Ovis aries: one gene and its partners. The protein of the gene in region 7 interacts with the protein of the main gene of each other region in a pairwise test. Links are inferred from orthologs where the notes say so. Each region holds a gene or a part of one and is shown on either strand. Other genes may lie near its edges. The genes, in order: CAMLG, MAPT, RET, PRDX1, SH2B1, ARPC5 and EGFR.

The links.
Region 1: the proteins of EGFR (region 7) and CAMLG interact in binary tests that used the Homo sapiens proteins (3 or more experiments, as listed by UniProt). The link is inferred for Ovis aries from reciprocal best matches to the Homo sapiens genes EGFR and CAMLG.
Region 2: the proteins of EGFR (region 7) and MAPT interact in a protein complementation assay, tested with the Homo sapiens proteins (3 studies listed by BioGRID and IntAct, with this or other methods). The link is inferred for Ovis aries from reciprocal best matches to the Homo sapiens genes EGFR and MAPT.
Region 3: the proteins of EGFR (region 7) and RET interact in a protein complementation assay, tested with the Homo sapiens proteins (3 studies listed by BioGRID and IntAct, with this or other methods). The link is inferred for Ovis aries from reciprocal best matches to the Homo sapiens genes EGFR and RET.
Region 4: the proteins of EGFR (region 7) and PRDX1 interact in a protein complementation assay, tested with the Homo sapiens proteins (2 studies listed by BioGRID and IntAct). The link is inferred for Ovis aries from reciprocal best matches to the Homo sapiens genes EGFR and PRDX1.
Region 5: the proteins of EGFR (region 7) and SH2B1 interact in binary tests that used the Homo sapiens proteins (3 or more experiments, as listed by UniProt). The link is inferred for Ovis aries from reciprocal best matches to the Homo sapiens genes EGFR and SH2B1.
Region 6: the proteins of EGFR (region 7) and ARPC5 interact in a protein complementation assay, tested with the Homo sapiens proteins (2 studies listed by IntAct). The link is inferred for Ovis aries from reciprocal best matches to the Homo sapiens genes EGFR and ARPC5.

Annotation. Positions count from the first base shown.
Region 1 is NC_056058.1:43,871,335-43,875,291, reverse strand, and holds the start of CAMLG (guided entry of tail-anchored proteins factor CAMLG), read right to left. Parts: upstream 2,801-3,957; 5' UTR 2,686-2,800; coding exon 2,514-2,685; intron 1,016-2,513; coding exon 558-1,015; intron 1-557. UniProt on the Homo sapiens protein: Required for the post-translational delivery of tail-anchored (TA) proteins to the endoplasmic reticulum.
Region 2 is NC_056064.1:45,741,946-45,745,445, reverse strand, and holds part of MAPT (microtubule-associated protein tau), read right to left. Parts: intron 3,216-3,500; coding exon 3,000-3,215; 3' UTR 1-2,999. UniProt on the Homo sapiens protein: Promotes microtubule assembly and stability, and might be involved in the establishment and maintenance of neuronal polarity.
Region 3 is NC_056078.1:12,795,838-12,800,009, forward strand, and holds the start of RET (proto-oncogene tyrosine-protein kinase receptor Ret), read left to right. Parts: upstream 1-1,372; 5' UTR 1,373-1,573; coding exon 1,574-1,643; intron 1,644-4,172. UniProt on the Homo sapiens protein: Receptor tyrosine-protein kinase involved in numerous cellular mechanisms including cell proliferation, neuronal navigation, cell migration, and cell differentiation in response to glia cell line-derived growth family factors (GDNF, NRTN, ARTN, PSPN and GDF15).
Region 4 is NC_056054.1:20,139,439-20,142,938, forward strand, and holds part of PRDX1 (peroxiredoxin-1), read right to left. Parts: intron 3,059-3,500; coding exon 2,905-3,058; intron 2,174-2,904; coding exon 2,051-2,173; intron 1,782-2,050; coding exon 1,651-1,781; intron 1-1,650. UniProt on the Homo sapiens protein: Thiol-specific peroxidase that catalyzes the reduction of hydrogen peroxide and organic hydroperoxides to water and alcohols, respectively.
Region 5 is NC_056077.1:26,477,881-26,482,040, forward strand, and holds the start of SH2B1 (SH2B adapter protein 1), read right to left. Parts: upstream 2,801-4,160; 5' UTR 1-2,800. Other genes in the region: TUFM (elongation factor Tu, mitochondrial), read left to right, coding at 2,973-3,015, 3,119-3,313, 4,051-4,160. UniProt on the Homo sapiens protein: Adapter protein for several members of the tyrosine kinase receptor family.
Region 6 is NC_056065.1:64,118,550-64,122,049, forward strand, and holds part of ARPC5 (actin-related protein 2/3 complex subunit 5), read right to left. Parts: intron 1,324-3,500; coding exon 1,147-1,323; intron 1-1,146. UniProt on the Homo sapiens protein: Component of the Arp2/3 complex, a multiprotein complex that mediates actin polymerization upon stimulation by nucleation-promoting factor (NPF).
Region 7 is NC_056072.1:885,938-889,437, reverse strand, and holds part of EGFR (epidermal growth factor receptor), read left to right. Parts: coding exon 1-100; intron 101-1,662; coding exon 1,663-2,024; 3' UTR 2,025-3,500. UniProt on the Homo sapiens protein: Receptor tyrosine kinase binding ligands of the EGF family and activating several signaling cascades to convert extracellular cues into appropriate cellular responses.

The DNA of each region.
Region 1 (3,957 bases), on a different chromosome or scaffold from region 7:
CTAAGGGTACATGATGGACTGCTATTATGGTAACAGTACAACATTATAAAATGCTAAATGCCTCTGAACTCTAAAAACATTACATCACGTTCAGGACCAAAACTGCATTTTAGTATTTCAAGTTATCTGAAAAGCGGTAATTAATATATAGGATATGTAGGTAATTTACCCTTTGGTTTTGGAATGAAACTGCCTGGGTTTAATCCCAGTTGTCACTTAGTAATGTGACCCTGTACAAATGATTTCACCTGAGTCTTCATTCCCTTCAATCTACAAAACAGATTCAAATGCTACCTGGCTCATAAGGATGAGGTTAAATGAATTAATATATGTAAAGCACTTAAAATGGTACTTAGCATATAAAAAGATTTTAGCATTATCATCAGGCTCTGTATTTAACTGGAACACTTCACTCTGTACCTAAGGCAAACAGAAGTTTATAACACATCTCCAAACAGTCACATGGATCACAAATATTACATTAATATTAGAAATGAATCTTATGGATTAAAAGCACTCATTACTATAACCAATTTTCATTTCCCACTGTTTCTTACCAAATATTTGCAGACAAAAGCTCTAACTCCAAAGGCAAGAAGAGCACAGCCCACCAATCTAAATATTCGAAAAGAGTCAAATTCTTCTGTTGTATTTCCATCTTCTTGACTGGGCTTTTCACTAATCAGCTGTTTCCTTAGCTTCATTGCTTCTTCAAATCTGGAGAGGTACTGTTCCAGGCCGTGGTGAGAACCCCTCTGGACAGAGTCGGCTGTCAGGTCCCCTCTGTTCCGCTGCCGGAGCTCAAGGCTTATATCATTACTGCACTCAGAAGGGCTAATGAAAGAGTCCAGTTTGTCTCCCAGCTGAGTTCCCTTTACCTCGGCCACTCCACTGTGGTCAGCCGGTCCTGTACTGACTGAATCACCCAGCACTACTCGCTTTGAAACCGAAGGAATGGTGAGGGAGTTCAGTTTATCACTGTCCTGCTGTTTTGATTTTGTTTGACTTTCTTCTTCTGAGAAAAGAAATTTAGAAGCCTTAAGTATTACATACTGGCCAACATCTTTCTTATTAATATTTAAAAATATGCCACTAGAGCTAAAATTTGGCAGTCTCTGAATTAATACTGATCCTTCATAAAGAAACAAATTCCTTCCTCTACACACAAAAAATGTCAAAGACAGTATTCTTTCAGAGGATATAACCCAAATTTTGGGGACAGAAGACAAAGCTAATAGACAAGTTGGGAAAGAGGAACGGAGATATTCTAAAACAACTATTTTTAATATTACATTTCTGAATCCAGAGTCCGATCAGCATAGGGTGTGGCATATCCTCCTGCTACCGGTTTGCATAACCCTTCTACTGTAATCTAGGAGACATTAGAAGGTACTTCAGCACTTTTAGGATGCTGTTCTAGTTTAAAACAAAACAAAGGGCGGGGAACCTTTAATGACAGACAAAATAAAAATCTCAAAGTAAAAGAAAAAAGAAAATGCTTTAAGAAAGAATATTCTGCTATTAACCATTAAAGGAGAAAATGTGTCTCCTAACAATTGTTCTAGAATTTGAAATAGGGCTCTTACCTCTCTTGGCAGTTTTCAGTGGCAAATCTGTGAACTGTCTAAAAATTCTGAGTTATATATCTAAAGCCCCACAGAGCAAAAGTCACAAGGATCTAAGGAACTTGCAGCCAGTGACTGAAGGCCAAATATTAGAGGCAACACTAAATAGAAATGTAAGAGTGTACAGTAAATACAGGGGAAAAACCAATTTTTTTTAAGAAACCCATTGTACATGTCATTGGGGGAGAAATGAGGAACTCCTTTCAGTGCTGAAGGCAGTTCCTGACATCATTCATATCAATCTCTGCACATTACGAGATAAGGCCTCACATGGGCACGTTTCCCTTGTTGGGTCTCTAAAGAATGGTCGCTCCAATTTTTTTCGCCTGTTTAAGAAGGCCTGCAGATGAGTGTCGAGGGCACCGCACAGACACCTGGATATGGGGCCGTGGTTCACGTTGGACAGACTACAGGGGCAGTTCAGTAAAGACAAGCTCATGAGGGCCGACAGAGCAAAAAGAAGGCAGACGGTAAGGAAGGCACTGGAAGGGAAAGCATTGACAAGGGAAAGAAAGACAGGCAATCTTCCTGACGGGCACGGTAGGTAGAGCAGTCTGGGAATAAAATGTGCGGCCTTCAAGAGAGGCGAGGGGGTGACGAGGGCAGGGTTGGGGCCGCCTCAGGGTCAGTGCGCAGAGAGTATACCACGGCAGAGGGTCTCAGGATCGAGAGCATTGCAGTTTGCGGCGGAAAACTAAGGAGAGATACAAGAAACGTCCTGCGGTGAAGAAGTGAGAACCTGGGACCTCATCAAAGGGGCGGGGCCGGAGGAGAGGTCAGAGAGCAGGGCTTAGTCAGAAAAGTCAAGGGGTGGAGGAGGGCAAGGAAGAATGATCCCCGAGACTCAAAAGGGATGGGCAGGAAACTATGGGGAACGGAGGTTCTCACCCGCGCTGCTCCCAGGCCTGTGAAAGCCCATGATTCGGTTGATGCGCTGTTCCGAGTTCATGAGCAGCTTTCTCCGCCGCAGCTCCGCCCGACGCTGGGAAGCCGACAGGCCTGAACCAGCCGGGGCCCCCGGCCGGTCCCCGCTGTCGGTAGCGACGGCGGCCGGCTCCATCTTCCCCTCCACTGTCCAGGAGTGGTGGCGATGACGTGAGCGGCAGCCGCGGCGCCCCAGACTTCAGACTGGGCCGCAGGCCGCGCGTGCCCCTACCGCTGTGGACCCGCCCCCCAGAGCGCAGGGCCGCACATGCAGCGTAAACGGGCGCGCCGCCTGTCGGGACCAAGCGCGAGCTCTGCGCCGCCATCTTGAGTAAGGGCATCCTTGGCCGCTCTAATTCCTCCCACCTGGGCTGGTCCTTAATGCTCCTCCCCCGCCATCGGGCGCCGTTGCCGTTCACTCGGAGGTGAAGAAACCCGGCATCCGGTTTGACCCATTAGAAACATGTGAGCAAGGAATAGACTCCGCCTACCTGATGCCAGGAAGCAAAATGGAGCTTGGAGTGGCAGGCACTGGTTTCCAGTGACCTTCTTCGGGCTCGCTTAGAGGCGTCAGGAATACGTAACTTCGAGAGCGACGCTTTATGGAGCGTTGCGGCTGGGATTTGTTCTTGGTGCTGATTCCTCATCTTCAGCAGTGCTTCTACCAAATGCATGCCTGTTTTGATAAAGACTTTCCCAGTGAAGCCTTCCCTGTCCACTCTATATTGTCGCCCCGACTCAACACTCTCTGTTCTCCTTATCTGCCCTTTGTCCTTAACAGTTATAACTGACTCTCAAGCTGAATGTACTTTTATTATCTGCTTCCCACTTCGTAAGATATAAGCTCCATGAAGACAATCACTGTGTTCGTAAATCTAGGGCTGCAACTCTTAGAACAGTGTAGGCCCTCAACAAGGGTGCCTTATCCATTACACCATGTTGACAGCATACAATAGGGGCCCAAGAAAATGTTTTAATTTGAATTTTTTATTGAAGCAAAGTTGATTTATAAGATTGTGTTAGTTTCCAGTGTACAGCAAAGTAATTGGTGTATATATGTGAAGGTGTTAGTCCTTCAGTTCTTTCCAACTCTGTGTGGCCTGCCAGGCATCTCTGTCCATGCTATTCTCCCGGCAAGAATGCTAGAGTGGGTAGCCATGTCCTTCTCCAGGGGATCCTCCCTACCCAGGGACTGAACCTGGGTCTCCCGCGTTGCGGCAGATTCGTTACCATCTGAGCCACCATATGTATGATGGGCTTCCCAGGTGGTGCGGTGGAAAAGAATCTGCATTCCAGTACAGGAGACAAGTAGGTTTGCTCCCTGGGTGGGGAAGATCCTCTGGAGTAGGAAATGGCAACCCTCTCCAGTTGCCTGGAAAATTTTATGGACAGAGGAGCTTGGCAGGCT
Region 2 (3,500 bases), on a different chromosome or scaffold from region 7:
CTTTGCCCAGTGGTTTAACTATCTTACAGGTTCCTCCCCCCTCCCCCCTCGAATACAATAAGCAATCGCAAACAGGATACGTCTCACCACTGAAGTCAATTTAAATGGAATTATTGATAAAGTGAGTGGAGAGCTTGAGGGGACCAGGTGGAAGAGGGACACCGACTCCGGAGGAAATGGGGGTAGGGGTGTGCCGGCTCTGGGGGGATTGTCCTCATTTAAGGTTACAAGCCAGCATCCCTTCGCAGACTCCCTGCCAGCAACTTGACCTGATCACCTAAACCACGATCTTCAGGCTGATCCCAACACAGGCGATTCCAGAGCCCTCTGGGAAGGAAGTACTTGGAAAGCCAGACACGAGACTGCAAGGAGGGGTGCAAGGAATGTGGCCAAAATCGGTGGCAGGAAGGAGGGGCCACATCTCTCATATCTTTACACCATGTTTCCTCCTCCAGAACCCTTCCAAGACCAGCTGGGACTCAGGACCGAGGAGAGGCTCGAGGGGGGGGGGACGCTGGGGCCCATGTGATGCCTAGCATGGAATGCTCTGATTGCAAATGGAGCAGCGGCCCTGGACTCCGACCCTCCCAGCCCCACAGGCTTGCCTTTGACTGTTCCCACACCACAAGTGGCAGGCCTGGACCGAGGCTGAGATTTCCTTTAAACAGCAGATTTTGACAAAGGCTGCTTCCCTTGTCCCCATGGCAGGAGAGGGTCGGCAAGTGTATTCTGACTTGTTACCACATCAGGAAGCTGGGGCCCCCTGGGGCTGGTCGTTCATCCCAGGGACCGTAGGGGCCCTGGGTGGGCAGCTGGACCATCCTTCCTGAGGGAGAGCTTGGAGCTGAGGGGTGGGCTGCAGATCTTGCCCCAGTAGGCACTCGTGATGCGGGGAACTGTCCAACCCTCTCTCGGGGCTGCAATGGGGCTTCTCTGGGGCCATCTTCACCGCAAGACACGTGCCCTCTGCCTGACAGAAGGGAGCCCCGGGTCAGGGAGGGGGGACTGGAGCTGCTGTCCTCTCCTGGGCTTCAGGTGTTCACAGCCGAGGGTTCCCCAGTGTCAGGAGCTGGTCTCTGTTGGGTCCCCGATGCTGATGGAAATCTTTCATCAACTGGGAGAGCCACATGGGCCTTCTGGATCTGAGTCCCCGCTGTGGGGTGAGAGACACCTAGGACTCCCACGAGGGCGGGTTAGAAACCTCTTTACAAGCATTTCAAGATACATGCGTCCTTTTTTTTTTTTTTTTCTTTTCACTATCATAGTCACTCTGGTGAATCCAAGCATAAACAGACAAATCAGACTACAAGGCGACAGGGTGTGGACGGGGAGGGGAGGGCGACATCTATGTATATGTTCAGCTGCTCCAGGACAGACCACCCTGCTTCCCGCTGGGACAGGGCGGGGAAGAACCAGTTCCGAGGGGGCACGTTTCCCTTTACGGGGTGCGGAGGGCTGATGACACAGACTTGGGGTCGAGCAGCGGCTGGGCTCCAAGAGGCTGGCAGTCACAAGCTGGGGCAGAAGTGGGGGACAACGGGGGCGTGGTCCTGCCCTCGGGGCCTTGCCCGCCTGCCCCAGGGCCATGGCAGGCATCCGGGACGGCCAGCCTGCTGCCAGCTCGGCACTGGACGGGGATCGGGCCCAGACAAGGCATGGACATCCAGGGTCACTGCGAACCCCACCCTGGCTTGCGACTGTGATGGCGGTGGGGGCAGGGAACTGAGTAAGGTCGTGGGGGCCTTCGTGAGGGACACAGCTGGATGCCTATAACTCAGACAGATGGAGGTTCCTGGTGTCCGGACCTCGCCCTCCTTGACTTCCCCCTTGGTATAAAGCAGGTGTCGCCCCATCAGAACAATGTCCATTACCGAGAAGGGGTGGGTGGTGGGGCGGGGAACTCGGGACAGCGTGACGTAGTGAGGGGACAGGCAGTGACCAGGCTCCGCACGGCAGACACACAGGCGTGGTGGGGGCAGACGCAGGGCTGCATGGCCGTGGGAAGGAGGAGAGGTTTAGGACCGGAGGCCCAGGCTTGGAAACAGGCAGGTGCTCCCAAGAGGCACAAGTCCTTACAAAGAGAACTGGTTAGCCCTAAGTTCCAGATCTGTGAGGTGGCCAAAAACGCGGCTGCAGTTCCCACCTTCAGAACTCAACAAAACGGGGGGTTCCAGGGGGCGGAGGGAAGCCCCTCAGCTCAGGAGCCCCCACCCACCCTGCGAGAAGCGAGGAAGAGGCCAGCGCTCGGTGGTCTTTTCCAAGGAGGTGACCCACACGACGTCCTTCCCATCACCTTTCTTCTGCCCCGTCCCTTCTCCCCGCAGAGGGTAGGCCTCCGCCGACCCCGAGCCCCAAGAACCGGACGCCGCTTGGTCCGAGGCTGCGGCGGGCGGCGGAGGCTGTGCCCTGCCCGCGGCCCTCCAGGCAGGCCCCAGCGTCCCCGCCCCTCACAGGCCCCGCCCCCAAGGCCCCTTCCGCTTCCCGCCCCGCCCCCTGCCCGCCCCGCCCACCCCGTCCTGCTCCAAAGGCGCCTCGTGCGCCTGTGGCTCCACCGAAGTGCCAAGTTTCAAGCCCCTTGTTGCCACTGCTGCCTCGGGGACACCCCCAGAATGGGGCACCCCCCCAGGCCTGGAGAGTCCCCGGAAGCAGCTTGCAGAGCCTCCCTTCTCCCTCTTCCACTCAGAGGGGAAAAAAAAAGAATCAAAGTAACTGCCCAAGGAAATTCTGGGTGGACCCTCTTTTGGAGTGTTTTTAAAAATACTTTATTAGGACTGGCCCACCCATCAATTTGGAAAGCTGAACTTGGCTCTGTTCCGGTCACTGATTTGGAAGCCCCGAGCCAGAGCTGAGCGACAAGCAGGTTAGTGATTAACCGATGAACCGATCTGTGAGGAGCAGCTGGGGGAGGGCAGAGGGCGAAGGGCCAGAGCATTATTCTTTTTTTTCCCACACTCTCCCACTCTCTTCTCTCCACGATTATTGACCGCCCCGGGGCCTGATCACAAACCCTGCTTGGCCAGGGAGGCAGACACCTCGTCAGCGAGGGTGGCGAGCTGCGGCGAGTCCACCATGTCGATGCTGCCGGTGGAGGACACGTTGCTGAGGTGCCGGGGGGACGTGTCCCCCGACACCACGGGTGACTTGTACACGATCTCCGCCCCATGGTCGGTCTTGGCTTTGGCGTTCTCGCGGAAGGTCAGCTTGTGGGTTTCGATCTGTAAGAGAAGAGCAGGCAGGCTAAGGAGGAGAGCTGGGCCGGGTGACCGCCCGCTGGCCTTGGGAGGGAGGGAGCCATGGTGGCGCCGACGGCTTCATGGCTTCCCAACAACTAAGCTGCACCATGCTAGTCACCTGCCAGCCAGCCCCCCAGGCCCCCTCTCCAGAAGCAGAGACCGTTGTGGGTTTTTTGTGTGCCCTTCTAGGAATAGCCCACACATGCAAACATGTACGTGTGAGAAAAAATACATATACATGTACATACAGGCATATATGTATAAATA
Region 3 (4,172 bases), on a different chromosome or scaffold from region 7:
GAGGCAGGCAACAACAGCAGGTCTGGTGGCCGCAGGGTGGCTCTCCTGAGCTGGCAGCACTGTGCCCTGGCCTTCTGCCAGCAGGCCGGCTTGGACATCTCAGCTGGCAGAGCCCCCAGCCAGCCTGTCTTGGCAGCTCCTCCTGAGGGCGAGTGACTTCACTTTGACTTCATATCTGCAGAGATGTGCACAGCTCTTACTCAGCTCTGAGCTCAGCCAGGCGGGAGGGCGCGGCTCTGTGCACAGCAGGAAGAAAAGACCCTGAAATAGGGGCACCTCAGGCCTAGGGACCTGGGATCCTCCCACCCCAAGGTCCCATGTGCTTCCTCTGTGCCTCGGTGGGGGCCTGACCTCAAAAGGCAGCTGGGAGGTGGGAGAACAGTGGCCTTTCCCCCCAGGAGCCTAGCACTCACCTACCACTTCACCCCAGGACCTCCCACCTTAGGGATCCAGAATCTTCCCTCTTTAGTATCAGATGTGTTTATGGGCATCATTTCTTGGGGCAAAAGTTAAATTCTTTTGGGCTCCAGTTCCTTCTTGCTACTTGCTCTGCCACCCTGTGAGCCCCACACCCTAAGAATCCTAATCTGCGGTCGGGGAGAAAGGGTATTACCCTCCAAGCATCCCGTTGAAGCCAGCTCCCCGTCTCTTTGAAAGGTGTGCCCAGTCTGCTGCTTGTTTTCATTGGCTGGACCAGTCCTAAAGAGGGGTTCACAAACTAACGCTAGGACACCCCCGAAGGGACTAGGAGCCACGCGCCAGGCGCACCCCTGGAGCGCGCAGAAGGCGCGCCGGCTCGCGGTCCCTCGCGGGGGCTCTGCCCTCCTCCCTCCTCCCCCCTCCCTCCTCCGGCCCCCAGAGAGGCCGCGCTCCCACCGCACCTCCCCCCTCCGAGAAATGGCGGAGGATGCGCGCCGCGCCCGGAGCCTGGAGGCGGGGCGCCTGCCTCGTCTGTCCGCTCCGGCGCACCCCCAGCCAGTCCGCCCAGACCCCGCATCCCCGCCTGGTTCCCCTGCCCTCTCTGGGCGGCAGGGAAGGTCGAAGCGCAGAGACAGCGAGAGGACGCGCAGGCTGAGGAAGAGTGACTGTGCGTGCGGAGGTGCGCGGCTCGGGGCTGCGGCCGCCAGGCCGGTGCCCGGGTCCCGCACCTCGCCCCTCCGCGTGCCCCGCCCGGCCTTCGCCCCGCGTCCGGCTCTGGTCTCCTAACCCTCGCGCCGGGCGAACCGCACCGGGCATCTCCCGGGGTGGCACCCCGCGCCCCGCCCTTACCCCCGCACCCTGGCCGCGCCCGCCCCGCCCCCAGCCCGCCCCCCTCGCCGCCCCGCCCCGCCCCTGCCCTCGCCTCGGGTGCAGCCCGCGCCCTCCCCGCCTCAGTCCCGCGCCCGGAGCCCCGCGCACAGCTGCGGAGAGTGCCTGGGAGCCCGCGCCCCGACGCTCGGCGCCCGCAGTGTTCGCCGCGCCCTCCGCTCCGGGACGGGCATGGGGCGGCCCGGCTGAGCACCGCACCCCGCCGCTGAGCCCCCCAGCCCGAGGAAGCGTCCCTCTCGCCGCGGCTGCAGTGTGTGCATCGGCGATGGCGAAGGCGACGGCCAGCGCCGCGGGGCTGCGGTTGCTGCTTCTGCTGCTGCCCCTGCTCGGCGAAGGTGAGTTCTGTCGGGGACTGGTGCCCGCGGCGGCCGGGGCGAAGTTGGCGCCGCGCGGTGGAGTGGTCGCGTTCGAAAACGCCTTTCTGTTTGCGGCGGGCAGCGGGCCACGCAGTTACTGGCCGCCTGGGCTCCGCTGGGAGTGGGGTGGTGTGGCGGGCAGCGCGCCTCGGGCCCCAGGCTGGGCGGATCTCGGGCCGGAGAGGGACGCGGGCCGGGCGGCCAGGGTCGGTGCCCAGGGCCGGAGTCGCAGCCGCGCTTGCCTGCCTGCTTGCGCCTCGCGCCACAGCGGCGTCTCGGGGCGAACCGAGCGGGTCTTGTCGGCGTTTTGGTGCAGTTCGGGGAGGACGGGTAAGGTAGCCCTAGAAAGCCTGCCACTGGGGCAGGAGGAGTTGCGTTTCTGTAAACAGTTGTTCCGTCTTGGTTTCCTTTTCGCAGTCCACGTCGGTGCGTTTCTCCTCCAGCTCTGATATCCTCTCTCAGGTGAGAGCGGAGATCTGCTCTTTTTAAAACGGTTGCTTTTCCCTTGTGCGATCTTGCCACCCTACTCCTTAAAAATCCCCCAAGCCTGTGGCCTCCAGGGAGGCTGCCCTCGAGGGCCCGCTAGGGCTGGCCCAGCGCCGCCGGCCCTGGTTCCAGTTCCACGCGCGTCTTTAGAGTCTCCTGCTGCTGCCCCGCAGGGGCACCTGAAGGTGGGGCCTTTGGTACCATTTGACGGTTCGGGGCCAACCAGCACCAAGCGCTTTGACCATCCTGGAGTGGAGTAGGGCTGTGTGCCATCAGCATCGGTGCTGGGAGGGTTCAGACTGGTCACTGTCCCCACCTCCAAAACTCTTGACAAGATGAATGAACCCCAAGGCTGTGGAATCTTTGCTCCTTACCCCCCGTGGCCACGAATTTTAGTTTCTCTCAAATTGTCCCGGATTTTTCTATCTTAAATACTTACATGTATGTATGCACCAAATTTCCCTCTGAGAGTAGCCCCCACCACCCTCCTCCACCTTTCCCTGCGGCCTTTGGGAATACAAAAGGTTCCCTGCTTCTGGCTCTGGGTCCTGCATAGACCGTCGTTTCACAGGCCTGCCCAAGGTTTCATTTGTGTGACTGGATCCTAAGCTCAAGAGGCAGATCCTTAGACTGGGATGGCCCCCAGCCAATCACAGGAAAGGCAGGAGAGAAATCCTTTCCATGCCCTGGGGAAGAATGGGGAAGCACTGGGAGTCTGGGGTTAAGGTGCTGGGAGGGGGAAACTGGCAGGCGAAGGCTCAAGACGGGAGAAGTAAACACAAACAAGGTGTTGAGAAGATCTCTTGTAACTCTGCTTTGCAACTCTAGTGATGGGCGGGTGATCAGGTGAGAGCCGGAAGCCAGGGTGGGCTGGGCGGCCTCAGAGCCTAGCAGAGGACTTCCCACGCCTTTCCTATGTTTAGCCAGGGTGTCCAGCTGAGGCTAGGAGGACTGGACTGGGGGCGGGGCCGCTAGCATGGACCTGTGACACTTGGTAGGAATGCAGGTGGCTTTTTCACAGCCTGGACTCACGGAGTGGGGTGGTGGGAGAAATGCCCTCCCATCCAGGGAAAGCAGGCCTCCTGCCCCACCCACTCTTCCAACGGCATGAGTAAGAAACCGTGACTGGTGACACAGAGTGGAGAGGTACCCAGGAGGAGACAGCCGGGCGTTTGGAGAGGCCTGCGGGCACACTTTACTCAGAGTGGCGGTCCTGAGCTCTCTCGGCGTGGTGCTCCAGACTGCCGCTAGTGAGCCGGGGCCACTGCTCCGGGACTCGCCCAGGCTGGGAGTAGCCCGGCCTCGGGGCGCCCCCTTGTGGATGCAGCCCTTCTGTGGCCGTGCCTGTTACCTGCTGGGTCTCTAGGGGATGAAAGCCTTCCCTGCTGTCCTAGACCGGCCTCCCGCAGACCGGAAGCTCTCTTCTGTGCTGGACAACTGCCGAGAGGCAGGGTAGGGAGGCAACCAGACGGAGCGGCAGTGGGCTGGACCCGAGTGTTGGGGAAAGAAAGCACTGCCTCAGGGCTGGCAGGGATGGGCTAGAGGGCTCAGGGGGGCTCAGAGCAAGGTCATAGGACATCACCAGACCCCTAGGGTGTGCCCCCCTCCACGTGTACACACTCTCATTGTGTAAGAGTGCGTGCGCCTTCAGAAAAGGTGCCATCCCAGACACAGACTCCCAGAGTAGGGCAGGACTGCTCACCCACAGCCTGGAATTTGTGTGAGGGCACAAATTCCATGGGTACGTGCACACACATACACACACACACACACACACTCCTGAATCCATGCTCACACACTCACACTCACTCTTGGCGATCACTGAGACACCACTGCCCTTTCTCAAGGATACATGATCATGAGGCTTGTAGACACACTCACGCCCATGCTGGGCCCCTCACACTACACCCTCATCTGGGAAACCCAGCCCCCCTCCCTGCCTTTCCCATACACTGGGACCCCGGTGTGTATACACAGAGACACTTGCCCCTCCCTACTCACACTCAGGGGGCACAGCCCGTC
Region 4 (3,500 bases), on a different chromosome or scaffold from region 7:
CCCTTTTCTCTGCTAAAATGTAATACAGGTTAACTCAAAGATCCTCCCCCCAAAAAAGTGTAAATTCAAGATAAAAGAAATTTTAAAGAAAAACAGGAATGTAGGATATACAAATATCAGATCATTATGTGGTACACCTGAAACTAACATGCATCTCAATTTTAAAAACAGGACTGTAGGATTATTTGTCAAATAACATGACAGCACCTCATAGAGTGCTTGATATCCACAGGCACTCAGACACTAACTATCATATTATAAGCCATTAAAGACTGCACACAGAAAGCTGTGCTTGTTTTAGTGGGATGGGAAGCAGCAGACAACAAGAGTGTTGAGAAGCAAGCTTCACAACTCATGAAACCTTGGGTTCAAGAGTCTATCCCAGTAAAAATTAATTTAAAAGTCTATACTACACATGCAAGGGAAAGTCAAATAAAGGGCCAACTTTGCCACCCACTCCTCAGCTCCTTCCATCTTTGTTCTGAACCATTCTCCACCAGAGGGCAGTCTCAGCAGCTGTCTGCTTCAATCCAGAGTAAACCCTACACATACTTCTGCAAATGGTGCCTTCTGATTCCCATTACCTACTTGCCTTCCACTCCAGCCAAACTAGTACTTTCGGGTCCCCCAAACACCACTAATCCAGACTCTTAACTTTCACCTCCTGTAACTCATGAGATGTGAATTGAACAGTAGCAGTGATCACAACTATTTTATATCCTCAATTACATTAAGCTGGGGTAGCTGGGTGGGGTTCAAGATCCCCTTCCCCCTACATATCCAGCACTTGAGCAGACTGAGGAGTTGTTCTTTTTTTTTTTTTTAAATTTTAAAATCTTTAATTCTTACATGCGTTCCCTAACATGAACCCCCCTCCCACCTCCCTCCCCATAACATCTCTCTGGGTCTTAAAACTAAACTCTTAGTTGGAATACGGTGGTCTCATTACAAGCAACAACTCCACTGGGCCAAAGTGGGGAGTTTTCAGAAGCTACAGTCTTGTAAACTGAGAGCCTGGGAGCAAGCAGTTCAGGACTTTATCAAAAACACTTCAAGGAGACTATTTCAGATGAGAAGGACCAGAGCAGTAAGAAAGACCTACACTCTAACGAATGCTAGACAAAAACCATATAATTGAATCTTCTCAGTAATGTTTAGATTTTACAAGGACAGACTCACAAAAACATCTTTAATCCTGAAACTTCTCGAAGGACCTTGAGATTTCATCTCAAACCCTCTTGCCCTAATCCCTCCTCAAAAAATTTTTTATATTGAACATTTATATAATTTGGTATTTGGTGACTATAATTCTTATAGATACAAAAAATATTCTGCACAACAGAATGAATTTTTAAAAGACAAAAATGTTAACACCTATGAGATCCTCCTACACTTTAACAAGTTGAATCTGCAGCAGTAAGTAATTCTAAATGAGCAGGGTAGAAGCTGGGAATACACAGCTGGAACAAAAAGCCTTTATATTCTCCTCCCCAAGCTTTTCTATTACCTCACCCCTACAACCCACTATAATCCAGAGACTGAAATTTCTTAAAGAGACATAATAACCCTTTTCCTATCTGGTAGACTTTGTTCCCACCGTCTTTCCCACCCTATCACTCCACTGTCCTGTCACCAGGCAAACTGGCTTACCTTCCCCATGTTTGTCAGTAAACTGGAAGGCCTGAACTAGTCTCAGTGTCTCATCCACAGAGCGGCCAACAGGAAGATCGTTTATGGTGATCTGTCGAAGGATACCTTTATCATCAATAATAAAAAGGCCCCTGCAAGAAAATATTAAAGGTCAGAGGGAGAGATAGTACAGTTTTAGAAATTGCTGTTAGAGTAAATCAGCAGAAACTGGCCTTCCCCTTAGGTCCTGCATAAAGAATGAAACCATTATGCCATCCACCTTAAACTTACACAGTGATGTATATCAATTATTCTCAACAAAACAGGAAGAAAAAAACAAAATAAAAAACGTCTCCACAGATCACAGCTCTACTTATAAAAGATCTTCAGCCAATCATCCAGTTTCCTGGTGCATATATACCTGAATGAGATGCCTTCATCGGCCTTTAAGACCCCATAGTCCTGAGCAATGGTGCGCTTGGGGTCTGATATCAAGGGAATGTTCATGGGTCCCAGTCCTCCTTGTTTCTTGGGTGTGTTGATCCTACAGTAAAAAAAAACACACATACGATCACACTCATTCAAATTCTTCTGTAACAAAAGCATTAACTGTGTCTATCCTACCCCAACGTTGCTAATCTAACTCCCCAGAAAACTTTAAATTCTTTCCATCAGTAAATGGTGGTTTAGTGGCTAAGTTGTGTCCAACTCTTGCGACCCCATGGACTGTAGCCTGCCAGGCTCCTCTGTCCATGGGATTTTCCAGGCAAGAATACTGGAGTGAATTGCCATTTCCTTCTCCAGGGGATCTTTCCAACCCAGGAATTGAACCTGGGTTTCCTGCATTGCAGGCAAATTCTTACCGACTAAGCTATGAGGGAAGTCCAGCGGTAAGTGGCTGAGGCCAATTAAAATCACCAGGGTACACTCAGCTGCAACCCAAGCTGCTTTTTCTCTGCTGCTAAGTTATAAGAGCAACAAGAGGAAGTCAGAGCATTTGCACTCCTTCCATGAGGAGCCAGAAGTCAATACTTGAAAAAGTCTATTGCCAAAGCCTCCTGGTTCCAGTTGCTGCTTAAAAGCTCCTATGCCTGGACTTCCCTGGTAGTCAGGGATTAAGACTTCTACCACGTTTCCACTGCATGAGGCACAGGTTTGACCCCTGGTTGGAGAATTAAGATCCCACATGCCACACAGCACAGCTACAAAAAAAAAAAAATCCATAATTTATAATTTTCTAAAATAAGCCCATGCCAAATGGACCAAGAGATTTACCATGCCAGGTGACAGAAGTGAGAATCCACAGAAGCACCAATTACTTGGCAGTTCAGTTTCTTAAATTCTTCTGCCCTATCACTGAAAGCAATGATCTCCGTGGGGCACACAAAGGTGAAGTCAAGAGGGTAAAAGAAGAACACAACATATTTTCCTGGGAAAAAAAAAAAAAAGCCTGTTACCCTTTGAAATAGACTTCCTTGTTTTGCAGAGAATGTAAACCTAAAGACATTTTCCTATGGGAAAAAAGAAGCCTTTTTTTTTTTTTTTCAACTGATGGCAGACAACTGTTAAAACACCAAGATGCGCAACACAGATGATGCCTAGCAGCTACTGTAGAACCTCGGCCATAAGAATTTTCCTTCTTCCATGTTAGCTGCCAACTACAGATAAGCACTGTTCAGTCTAATTTTGATCTTCTCTGAGTAGTTAAAATTAACACAAACACCAAGTTCTTCTGTGAAGAAAAGAAAAAACAAGGATGCAATCATCTACTGCCAATACTCATATAATCAGTGCCCAGAAAGAGCTGAATTGCTGGATTCTCTGCCACAAGGCAACAAGACCAACAAGAGAAAGTCAGAGCCTTTGCTATT
Region 5 (4,160 bases), on a different chromosome or scaffold from region 7:
GGAAAAGGACAAAGGTGGTGCCATTTATTCAGATATGTAAAGAGAGTATGGGAGAAACATAGTGTCCTGTTTGGAGTATGTTAGGTTCATAGCATCACAGTGGTAGCACCCTTCGATTTGGAAGGCTCATGAACAGTTCAAGTGCAAGTATGCACAGAGACCTGCTATGGCCAGGCACACAGTATATGGAGATAAAGGAAGCCCAGTCCTCACCCCACTCAAGTCACTTAGTCTCAGACAAGTGACACCAAGAAATACGTCCAAGTGCTGTAAGGCAGACTTATCTGTTAGGGTGTATTTGGCTTTAAGTAACAGACAACTCTAACACCATCTGCCTTAAACAATAAAGACACTTGTCATCTCACACCATGTAGAGTCCAGGCTTCTAAGATCCTCTTTGCCCACTTCTGGATTTTTGGCTTCACCACGGATGGGAGCATGATGGGCATGGTAATTCCAGGCTTCCCATCCTGATCCAACAACTCCCAGAGTCAGAAGGTGGTCTGTCTCCTCGGTGTCTCCTCCTTCTTTTTAAAATATTTATTCATTTATGGCTGTGTTGGGTCTGAGTTGTGGCACGTGGGATCCTTGTTGTGGCACGTGGGATCCTTGTTGTGGCTTACAGATCCAGAGCACTCCACCGGCTCAGTAGTTGTGGCACATAGGCCCAGTTGCCCTGCAGCATGTAGGATCTTAGTTCCCCATCTGGACTTGAACTCAAGTCCTCTGCACTGGAAGTCAGATTCTTAACCACTGGACCACCAGGAAGTCCCAAAGGTCACTTTTTTGATGTAGAAGCGGTTTCAGGACCATGAGCAGCAGCTGTTGCAGACAAGTCTAAGTCCTGGCATTTAGTGTCTGGTGGCAGTGTCAGGAGAAGCAGTTTTCTTACCAGGTCAGGTCAGACCTGTGGCTTAGGATCCATTTCTTCAGCCCGTTCCACAATTCTGTAGGCTGCCTACCACCTTGACACAGTTTTCCAACCAGCCCATGTAAATTCTATTATCTGCAAATCCAGACTCCTGTGACATAGGGTGCAACAGGCAAAAGCTCTACAAAAATTCTGTCCCTCTGGACTCTTTCCTGAGCACTGTGTTTTGCAAATTTCAGTCATTCACATACACCTCTCCCCAGATTTGCCATATATTCATATCACCCATTTTATCTACCAAGTGTTGTTTTTTTTAATTGATTCAACATTTTTTTAAATACAACATTTACAATGCCAGCCTTTCTTTCAAACTAATACACATTAAAATGAATATAGCACCACTAAAAAAGAAAGCATTAATTTAAGTACCAGCCCCCAATATTTCATATCCTGGTTAGTGGCTGATAGTGTCTTAGGATAAATTTCTAGAAGTGGAATGACTGAGGTTCAGGTTGGGGACAAGGAGAACCCTTTCATATTGTACAAGCCCTTTCTCATCAAAGCTGATGGGTTTAGAGGGCCAGGAAGACAGAAGTCTTAGCAAGTTTCTCATTGTAAAATGACAGTTAAATTATAGTTCGGTGAAGTGGCTAAATGCACACTTTTTTGGAGTTTAGCTGTGTTGGGTTCCTTAATTACCGTGATGCTCAGTTTTCTCACTAGTAAAATGGGGTCCTATCACACAGTATAACATTGAATGTGATACTGAATGAGAAGCAACATGAAGCACAACGCCTGAACCATGAAAAGCTCTAATTCTGAGTCCCCCAAACTCCTATGAGTTTAAGAAGAGTATTAAAAATAAATATAGTTTTCTTGTCTGTACCCAGATACTACTGAATCATAATCTCCAAGGGAGGAATTAAGGAATCTATTTGAAACAGACACCATCAGCTGAGTCTTAGGAGCTGATGAATTTTGGAAACATTAATCAAGGTTAAGCAGCTGCTATTATCATCCCACGGTGATGAGATGATGGATGTGAAAGTTAAAGGTCATTTACTATCCTTGCACTCATTCATTCAGTCAACAGACATTAATTGAGCACTCACTGAGTGCCCCGCCCTGTGGTAGGTGCCAGGGACACAGCGGGAACAAGACAGACTCAGGCTGCCCTTAAAGGCACAAGAAGTTGGTCTCTCACCTGGTCATCTGTAAAACCGGGTGGGTTGACCGACGATCCAGAGAATTACTCTGGCCTGCTGAGGGGCGACAGGGGTGGACAGGAAACTCTGTCCCCCCTGGCTCACAGGGCATTTGAGCCAGGGGAGGGTCTCAAAGACTGTAGGACCCGGAGGCTTTTGGACCCCTTTTCTGCCTCTTGCCCAGCTCATTTCCTCTCAGAGCTAGATGTCAGGATCTTCCTGTAAAGTAGATACTATTCCCACTTCACAGATAAGAAAACAAAGGCTTAAAAGAGAGGTGGGTCACACTAGAGACCCACCCCCAACAGGTTCTCGGGAGTCTTCCCTCAGCCTGGCCGCAGCGGCTGGTCCTACCTCCAGCTGCGACACAAGGCCGCCAGATCTGTCGTCAGACCCGCGCGGCGGGTCGGACTGGACTCCAAGTGGTTCGGGGCCAAGACGTTCCGGAGTCATCCACGCCGGGGCCGCTGCCTCTGCTTCAAGAAGGCCTGGACCGTCCCTCCGGACCTGGCCTCGCCCTCCCACGATACGTGCCAGTACAGCTCACGGCCCTGGGAACTACAACGCCCATGAGCCTCCGGGGCGTAGGCGCGCTATGAGATGCTCCACATCGCCTCCCGGCGCCACCAGAGAGAACTGCGTGGCTCCTGAGCCCGCGAGGTTGGAGGGCGCCGTGGAAAGCTTCCCCACCTTACCACCATCAGCACTTTCCTGGACGGGTTCTGTCGCGCGCCCGGAAGTTCACAGGGCCATAGAGATTGGAGGCTAGAGGGGCCCAGACGTGCCCTCTCGGTCCTAACTTCCGCCGGAAGCGACTTCCATCCGCAATTGCCCTTTCCCCGCTGCACGCGCCGGCCCCCGTGCCCGGTACTCTCTACGGCGCCAGTACGACCACAATGGCGGCCGCTACCCTGCTGCGCGCGACGCCCCTTTTCAGCGGTGAGGGGGCGGGGAGGGCCACGGCGCCCCGGGTTCACGTGGGGGTCGTCGGGAGCGGCCGGGCTCAGACCTGCGCCGTGACTCCAGGCATCTGCCCCGGCAGGTCTCGGCGCCGGCCCAGCACCACTATTGCAGGGTCTTTTGCGGCAGCTGAAGGCCCCGGCATTGCCCGTCTTGTGCCGTGGCCTGGCTGTGGAGGCCAAGAAGACCTATGTACGTGACAAGCCCCATGTGAACGTGGGTACCATCGGCCATGTAGACCATGGCAAGACCACCCTCACCGCGGCCATCACGAAAAGTAAGTGGGGTTGGGTTGGGGGGCTTCCAGCAACGCCTGCTCTGCAGGTGGGACTTGGAGCCAAGGGGGCGGGGCCCGCGGAGGAACTGCCTAGGTGTTTGGTGCTGCCCCAAAGGCGCCAGGTGGCTTCCCAGGTGGCGCTAGTGGTAAAAACCCCGCTCGCCAATGCAGGTTAGGCGTAAGAGAGGCCGGTTCGATCCCTGGGGTCGGGGAGATCCCCTGGAGAAAGGAATGGCAATCTACTCCAGTATTCTTGACTGGAGAATCTCATGGACAGAAGAGCCTGTCCATAGACTGTCCTTTTCTAAAGTGGAAAGGGCCTTGCTGAAAAGTGTGTTCCCTTCCTTCCCTTAGTTTTAGCAGGCTACAGTCCATAGGGTCGCACAGAGTCGGACACGACTGAAGTGACTTACCAGGGCACAAGGCGCCAGAAATTGGGCGGACAGTACACTGCAGGATGCAGAAGACAGATTTCCCGTGAACACGAAGTTTTTGATGCATAAGTTGGGGGACCCCCCCAGTGGCCTCCCTCCAGCCCTGGGAAGGTGCCCTGTAAGCAGAATTGTTGGCCTAGAGAAGTCACAGGGCTAGCCCTTGAGGCTCTATTTTCTTTCTGATCTGGAGTTACTAGTCCCAGGAGTTGAAGGAGGGTATCTTGGAAGGTTGCTTTTCCTAGACTGTCCTTTTCTAAAGTGGAAAGGGCCTTGCTGAAAAGTGTGTTCCCTTCCTTCCCTTAGTTTTAGCGGAGGGAGGTGGGGCCAAGTTTAAGAAGTACGAAGAGATTGACAACGCCCCAGAGGAGCGAGCCCGAGGTATCACAATCAATGCGGCTCATGTGGAGTATAGC
Region 6 (3,500 bases), on a different chromosome or scaffold from region 7:
CTAATACTGCAAAGCAAAATGCATGAAAACAGAAAAAAGAAATTAAGAATTCTTGATCCTACTCCTGATTTCATTTTTTAGAACTGTGATAAAATATGTAACATAAAATTTGCCACATTAGCCATCTTTAAATATAAAATTCAGTGGCATTAATTACGTTCAAATATTGTATAGCCATCACCACTATCTATTTACAATACTTTCCCATCTCTCCAAACAGAAACTCTGTACCCATTAAGCAATAACTCTCCAGTCTCCCTTCTCCACAGGCACTGGTAATTTCTAATCCATTTTCTGTCTCTATGAACCTGCCTATTCTAGATATTTCATGCAAGCGGAAGTGAAGTGAAGTGAAGTCGCTCAGTCATGTCCGACTCTTTGCGACCCCATGGACTGTAGCCTACCAGGCTCCTCTGTCCATGGAATTTTCCAGGCAAGAATACTGGAGTGGGTTGCCATTTCCTTCTCCAAGGGATCTTCCCAACCCAGGGATCGAACCCAGGCTTCCTGCATTGTAGGCAGACGCTTTTACCATCTGAGCCATCACAGTATTTTGTGGAATACAGTATTTTGTGTCTTTTTGTATCTGGTTTATTTCACTTTGCATAATGTTTTCAAGGTTCATTCATGCTGTACCATGTAGATAAACATTTTCTGGTCAAGTAATATTCCCTTGTATGTCTGTGTCAGATTCTGTTCATCTGTTTGGGCATCCCTGATGGCTCAATGGTAAAGAATCCACTTGCAATGCAGGAGATGTGGGCTAATACCCTGGAGGAGAAAATGGCAACCCACTCCAGTATTCTTGCCTGAAAGATCTGATGGAGACGAGCCTGGTGGGCTATGGTTCATGGGGCTGCGCAGTTGGACATGAATGAGCAGAGCGACTGCACACGCATGCATGCACGTTCATCTGTTCATGGATGCGTGGGTTTTCCAGCTTTTGGCAATTGTTAAAGAATTCAAATCAGCATCTCAAGACCAAGGCTAGCAAGCATAAATCTAAACTTTCATTTTCATGCATTTATTTGTAGTAACCACCAATGTATAACCAAAGAGTCAAAACAGGTATTTAGGCTAGAGGTTGTCAATGTTTTTTCCATTACAAAGGAACCAGTCATACAGATTGTATAATTCATGACTTACCTTTTCATGCCACTGCAATAACACAGCACTGCTATTGTCAGAGGGGCTCTCAAAGCCTTTATAAATATACTTCATTAGGAGATCCACACCATTCTTGTCCAGGGATTGAACTGCTTTTTCAATATCGTTAGCTTTAAAAGAGATGAGCACCTTCAAGACAATGCTGCCTGCGCGATCCTGAAGGTAAATAAACAACAGATCGTTCAGTCTCATTTTTGTGTTGGGTAGTTCCAGTTTTTAGAAAGGCTGCACTGCGAGTGTGACATTCGGGTAGAGACCTGAAGAAAGGAAGAGGACACCTTGGGTGTATCTGAGGCAAACATTTCAGAGAGAGAAGAGTAACTGCTGCTAGCGTGTGTTCAGTGTGCTCAAGGGACAGCAAGAAGATGAAGGGGGCTGGAGTGGAGTGCAGGGCAGGAAGTCAGAGAGGCAGTAGGAAGACAGAACGCGTAAACCCTGCAGGCCCTTATGAGAACTCTGGCCTCCAGTCACAGAAATGAGAAGCTGTTGGACTTCCCTGGTGGCTCAGAGGTTAAAGTGTCTTCCTGGAATGCGGGAGACCTGGGTTCGATCCCTGGGTCAGGAAGATCCCCTGGAGAAGGAAATGGCAACCCACTCCAGTACTCTTGCCTGGAGAATCCCATGGAGGGAGGAGCCTGGTAGGCTATGGTACTGAGCGACTTCACTTTTGCTTTCTTTCTTTCTAAAAAGAGTGATGTCATCTGACTTACATATCCCATGGAGGGAGGAGCCTGGTAGGCTATGGTACTGAGCGACTTCACTTTCGCTTTCTTTCTTTCTAAAAAGAGTGATGTCATCTGACTTACATTTTAACAGGACCAGCTGGCTGTCATATTGAAAATAAGCCCGGGGCAGCAGGAGGGTCGGGGGAGCAGGAGACAGAAGCCTGGAAGCCAGCTTGGAAGTTCCTGCACCAAGACAGGCTGGCTTTGGCTGGCATGGCAGCAGCAGAGGCAGCCAGAAGCAGACAGAGTCTCGACATATTTGAAGGTAGAGCTGAAAGGGTTTACTTACAGATAGATGTAACAAATTATCAATGTATTAAATCAATACATTTCACTTCTTGATTTAAAAAAAATAGACCAAAAGAAGGAAACTGAATTATAGTTCTACCCTGATGCATCCTTCAGAAATGTTATTAATAAATAAAAATTTAAGTTTCTAAAACTTATTTTTCATTTCACATCTATAGTCAAGTGACTATAGGTATTAGAGTGGTCTTCATTTATAATGATCTTTTTCTTTGATGAATGACTGCTCCAACAGCAGTTGCTTTTCACCTAGCAAGCCAAGTACACAGAACACTTAATTTCCCCTTTCAACAATGTTTCTCTTTCTATTCAACACAAAGTGATACCTTCTGCATTCCTGCCGGTCATGATCTTACAGTATGCTTCTACCACCTTTTGCTGTCTTCAGTTTAAAGACTATGCAATTATCCGTTTAGAAAAATATCCTTGTATGGAGAGCTATAACCTCCCACCCACACGCTCTGATTAAAAAAAAACACCCACAAAAAAGCAGAAGGTGGTAAAACGAAATTTCAATGACGTTACTCACTTTTAAAAACCAAAGAAGCATTTCCTCTTATAAAAGATTATGTTGCCTAGATAATAATGCATTTACCTAAGTTATTATTTACTAGTATTTAACTAAGGAGATACTTGGGGCTCCTAGGATGTGTGAATGGCTATGGACAGTGGGGGGATCAATGCTCTGGGTGTGGGATTATGGACGATTACATTTTTATTCCCCCATATTGCTGAGTTTTCTACAATACTTAACAGAACTAAACATTAAAATTTAATCTGAAAAAAAAAAGAAAAAAAATTTAATCTGGGCTTTAAACAATTAAGTAAATAGGTTCTTAAGAATTACTGAAAGATGGTTAAGAGGCAATGTAATTTTACAACTTTTCTGAAGGGTAGTATGGCAATACCATATGTAGCCTTAAAAAAATGTGCAGTCTAAAATCCAGCCATTCACTTCCAGAAATTTATTCAAAGGAAACAATTCAGACTTTACCAAGAATTGTTCATTTCAATACTATTTATGACAGGAAAAAAGTCAATAAATATATGATGAAAGTTTATATATAACTAAACTGCAGGATTATCAAAATACAGATGTTAAAAAAGATATTATAGAAATAAACTTATTACCAAGTAAAGCTGTTCATGTATGCTGCTATACAGATGAAAAGCAGTTTATCTATTTTAATGAAAAGAAAAACTCATAGAAAAACTCTATAAGCATACAGCAACAACAAAAAGTAATGATTATCTACAGGTATGGAATTATAATTATTTTCATTCCCCCACATTTCTGAGTTT
Region 7 (3,500 bases):
TACCCTCTCAAGGAAGAAAGCTTCCTGCAGCGCTACAGTTCAGACCCCACTGGTGCCCTCACCGAGGACAGCATGGACGACGCTTTCCTCCCAGTACCCGGTGAGTACCGCTCGCTGGGGTTGGGGTGGCGGAGGGGTGTGTGGGTTCTGTTCCATGGCCTCGGGCCCTGGCCCGGGCCAGCTGCTTCCTTCAAGCTGGTTCGGCGGTAAGAGCCCACAGTAAGAGTGCAGACCAAACGAAAGGAGAAGGAGGGCAGTCAATAGACAACGACCAAGTATGCACATGGGTCCAGGCATGTCCAGGTTGTCTTTAGAAGGACTCTGCAGATTTTCTAGAATTTGAAGCCAAAAGTAAAGATTTACATGTGTGAGTGCTTGAGAGAGAGAGTGTGTGGTGTGTGTATGTGAGACAGAGAGAGTGTGTGAGAGAGAGAGAGAGAGTGTGTGTGTGAGAGTGTGAAAAAGTGTGTGAGAGTGTGTGAGAGAGTGTGTGTGAGAAAGTGTGTGAGAGAAAGAGAGTGTGTGAGAAAGAGAGTGTGTGTGAGAGTGTGTGAGTGTGTGTGAGAGAGAGTGTGTGAGAGAAAGAGAGTGTGTGAGAGAGAGTGTGTGAGTGTGTGTGAGAGAGAGTGTGTGAGAGAAAGAGTGTGTGAGAGAGTGTGTGAGAAAGAGAGTGTGTGTGAGAGAGAGTGTGTGAGTGTGTGTGAGAGTGTGTGAGAGAAAGAGAGTGTGTGAGAGAGTGTGTGAGAGAGTGTGAGAGAGTGTGTGAGAAAGAGAGTGTGTGTGAGAGTGTGTGAGTGTGTGAGAGAAAGAGAGTGTGTGAGAGAGAGTGTGTGAGAGAGAGAGTGTGTGTGAGAGAGAGTGTGTGAGTGTGTGTGAGAGAGAGTGTGTGAGAGAAAGAGAGTGTGTGAGAGAGTGTGTGAGAGAGTGTGTGAGTGTGTGTGAGAGAGAGTGTGTGAGAGAAAGAGAGTGTGTGAGAGTGTGTGAGAGAGAGTGTGTGTGAGAGTGTGTGAGTGTGTGTGAGAGAGAGTGTGTGAGAGAAAGAGAGTGTGTGAGAGAGTGTGTGAGAGAGTGTGTGAGAAAGAGAGTGTGTGTGAGAGAGAGTGTGTGAGAGTGTGAGTGAGAGAGTGTGTGAGAGAGTGTGTGTGTGAGAAAGTGTGTGAGAGAAAGAGTGTGTGAGAGAACGAGAGTGTGTGAGTGTGTGAGAGTGTGTGTGTGAGAGAGAGAGTGTGTGAGAGAGAGTGTGTGAGAGTGTGTGTGTGGGAGAGAGAGAGTGGGTGACAGAGAGCGTGTGTGAGAGAGTGTGTGTGAGAGAGAGAGAGACAGATTAGTTCCCTGTTCTCTCTCCTGGCTCCATTTCTGGCCTGTGAAACTTGTATTTGCTTAATCTAAGCTCTGTCCCCAGACAGCCAACCTGCACAAACACACGTCTCAAGGGAAGCAGTCCTCTGAAAACTTTAAACTTTCAAAAGAAAAGCATGCACATTTCTTTGAGCAGTACGAAAAGAACACAATTCATTTTAGCAAGAGAGTCTTCTCCCTAGGTTTCCCTGCCTCTGTCGTCCAGCGCCTCTTTGAAGAATAGTCACAGGGTTTAGAAAGAGCTGTGAAATCCTGTTGAGGATGATGCTTTGCTGATTACACTTGATTTCTTTTCAATTTCAGAATATGTAAACCAATCTGTTCCCAAAAGACCCGCAGGCTCTGTCCAGAACCCTGTCTATCACAATCAGCCTCTATATCCAGCTCCTGGCAGAGACCCTCAGTACCAAAATTCACGCAGCAACGCCGTGGACAACCCTGAGTATCTCAACACCACCCATCCTGCCTGTATCAATGGTGTACTCGACGGCCCTGCCCTCTGGGCTCAGAAGGGCAGTCACCAAATTAGCCTAGACAACCCTGACTACCAGCAGGCCTTTTTTCCCAAGGAAGCCAAGTCGAATGGCATCTTTAAGGGACCTGCAGCTGAAAATACAGAATACCTGCGGGCAGCACCAGCAGGCAGTGACTTTACTGGGGCCTGACCATGGAGGACCACCTCAGCCATAAACTTCTAGCCCCTTCCACCCCCAGGACCAAGCCATGGCAGCTGTTGAGTCCTGACCGCCATGCTGACATTATCTCTTGGACCCACAGACTGGTTTGTCCATATTTGCCCTGATCAACCCACCTTTCAACCAAGAAGTGCCCCTGACTCAGATGCACTTTGCAAAGTTGCAGGGACATTCCTTTGTGTTCAAACTGTGAGGCTTCCACAAAAGGCATCCAGAAAGAATGTTGTCCATTTGGGAAGAAGTTCACCTTTCAGTGAGGTATATTTGAAAAATACTAAATATGTTCAAGGAGTTTTATTGCTTAGGAACATCTGGGTTTTTTTTCATTGACACTGATTTTACTTCTAATGAGCTTTTCTAAGAAGGAAAAAGCTTGCTCATAGCACCTGTGGTACTGAGTTGACCCAGGCCCAGCTGTGACTGAGACGCATGAACCAGCCTTCCAGGTAACACGTGATTCCACTGGCTCTGCTTGGAGACTTCTCTATTGCAAGACAGTTGAATAACCAGCCAGTCCTCTGAGTCCTCAGCAAGCCACATTGGTACTATATCAGATCAACGCAGGTACAAGACAATAAGCCACTTTGAACTCTTCCTAAGCAAGGAAGAAACAGAGGGAGTAGAATTCTTCCTCAGACTTACTTTTATATAGATGTCTCCACGGTACTTTCTCTCCTTTGGGTGACCAGTGTTTTCTAATTAAAAGTATTAGACTTGTTTATTTTCCATTCCATAGTTTTGAAACCCAGTATGCTTTCCCTGTACAGCCAAACAGTAACCACGGTCAGCTTATATGTGATTCATGGACATTCGGACCATTGCCTTTAATTGAGATGGAATGATAGTGCAAAAAAGGAACAAATCCCCCAAATCTGAGTCTTAGAGGAAATATATTAAGTCTTTGGAGGTCAGGGGACAGGTGTCTGTCTGAAGACTGCATATGTGATGCTGCTCTTGAAACTCTTTGAGCTCCCCCAGTGCTCTCCCCGACACACACACGAAACAATTTGTTTAGGCTACTCCTAGAAGATAATTAATTATTTTACTTCGAGGGATTTTTACTCAAAGGGCACTTTGCTCCTCACTGGGAAGTTGCCCAGATCCCTCCTTGCCCTTGGTGAGTTTCAGGGTCCAGGCACGCGGGAAGCTGTGCAGGAGGGCCTCACCACTATGGCGCTTTTCACAGGTGAAATAGAGACAGCATTATGTGTCATATGAAATTCAGGTAAATACGAAGTTTGACTTTGAAGTTGATGATAATGCCTTCATAACATCTCCAGGTACGTGGGAAGAAGAAAACAATCCCCCCTTAAAATAACTCCCTGTAATTGGAGGACCCGCTACTTACGACACAAGCTTTTTCTCATCTGTGTCCCCAAACCCTGAATGTTACATAGTTCTTTGTAGACAGTGTTGTAAACACTCTTAGTCAAGATCCATCTCAGC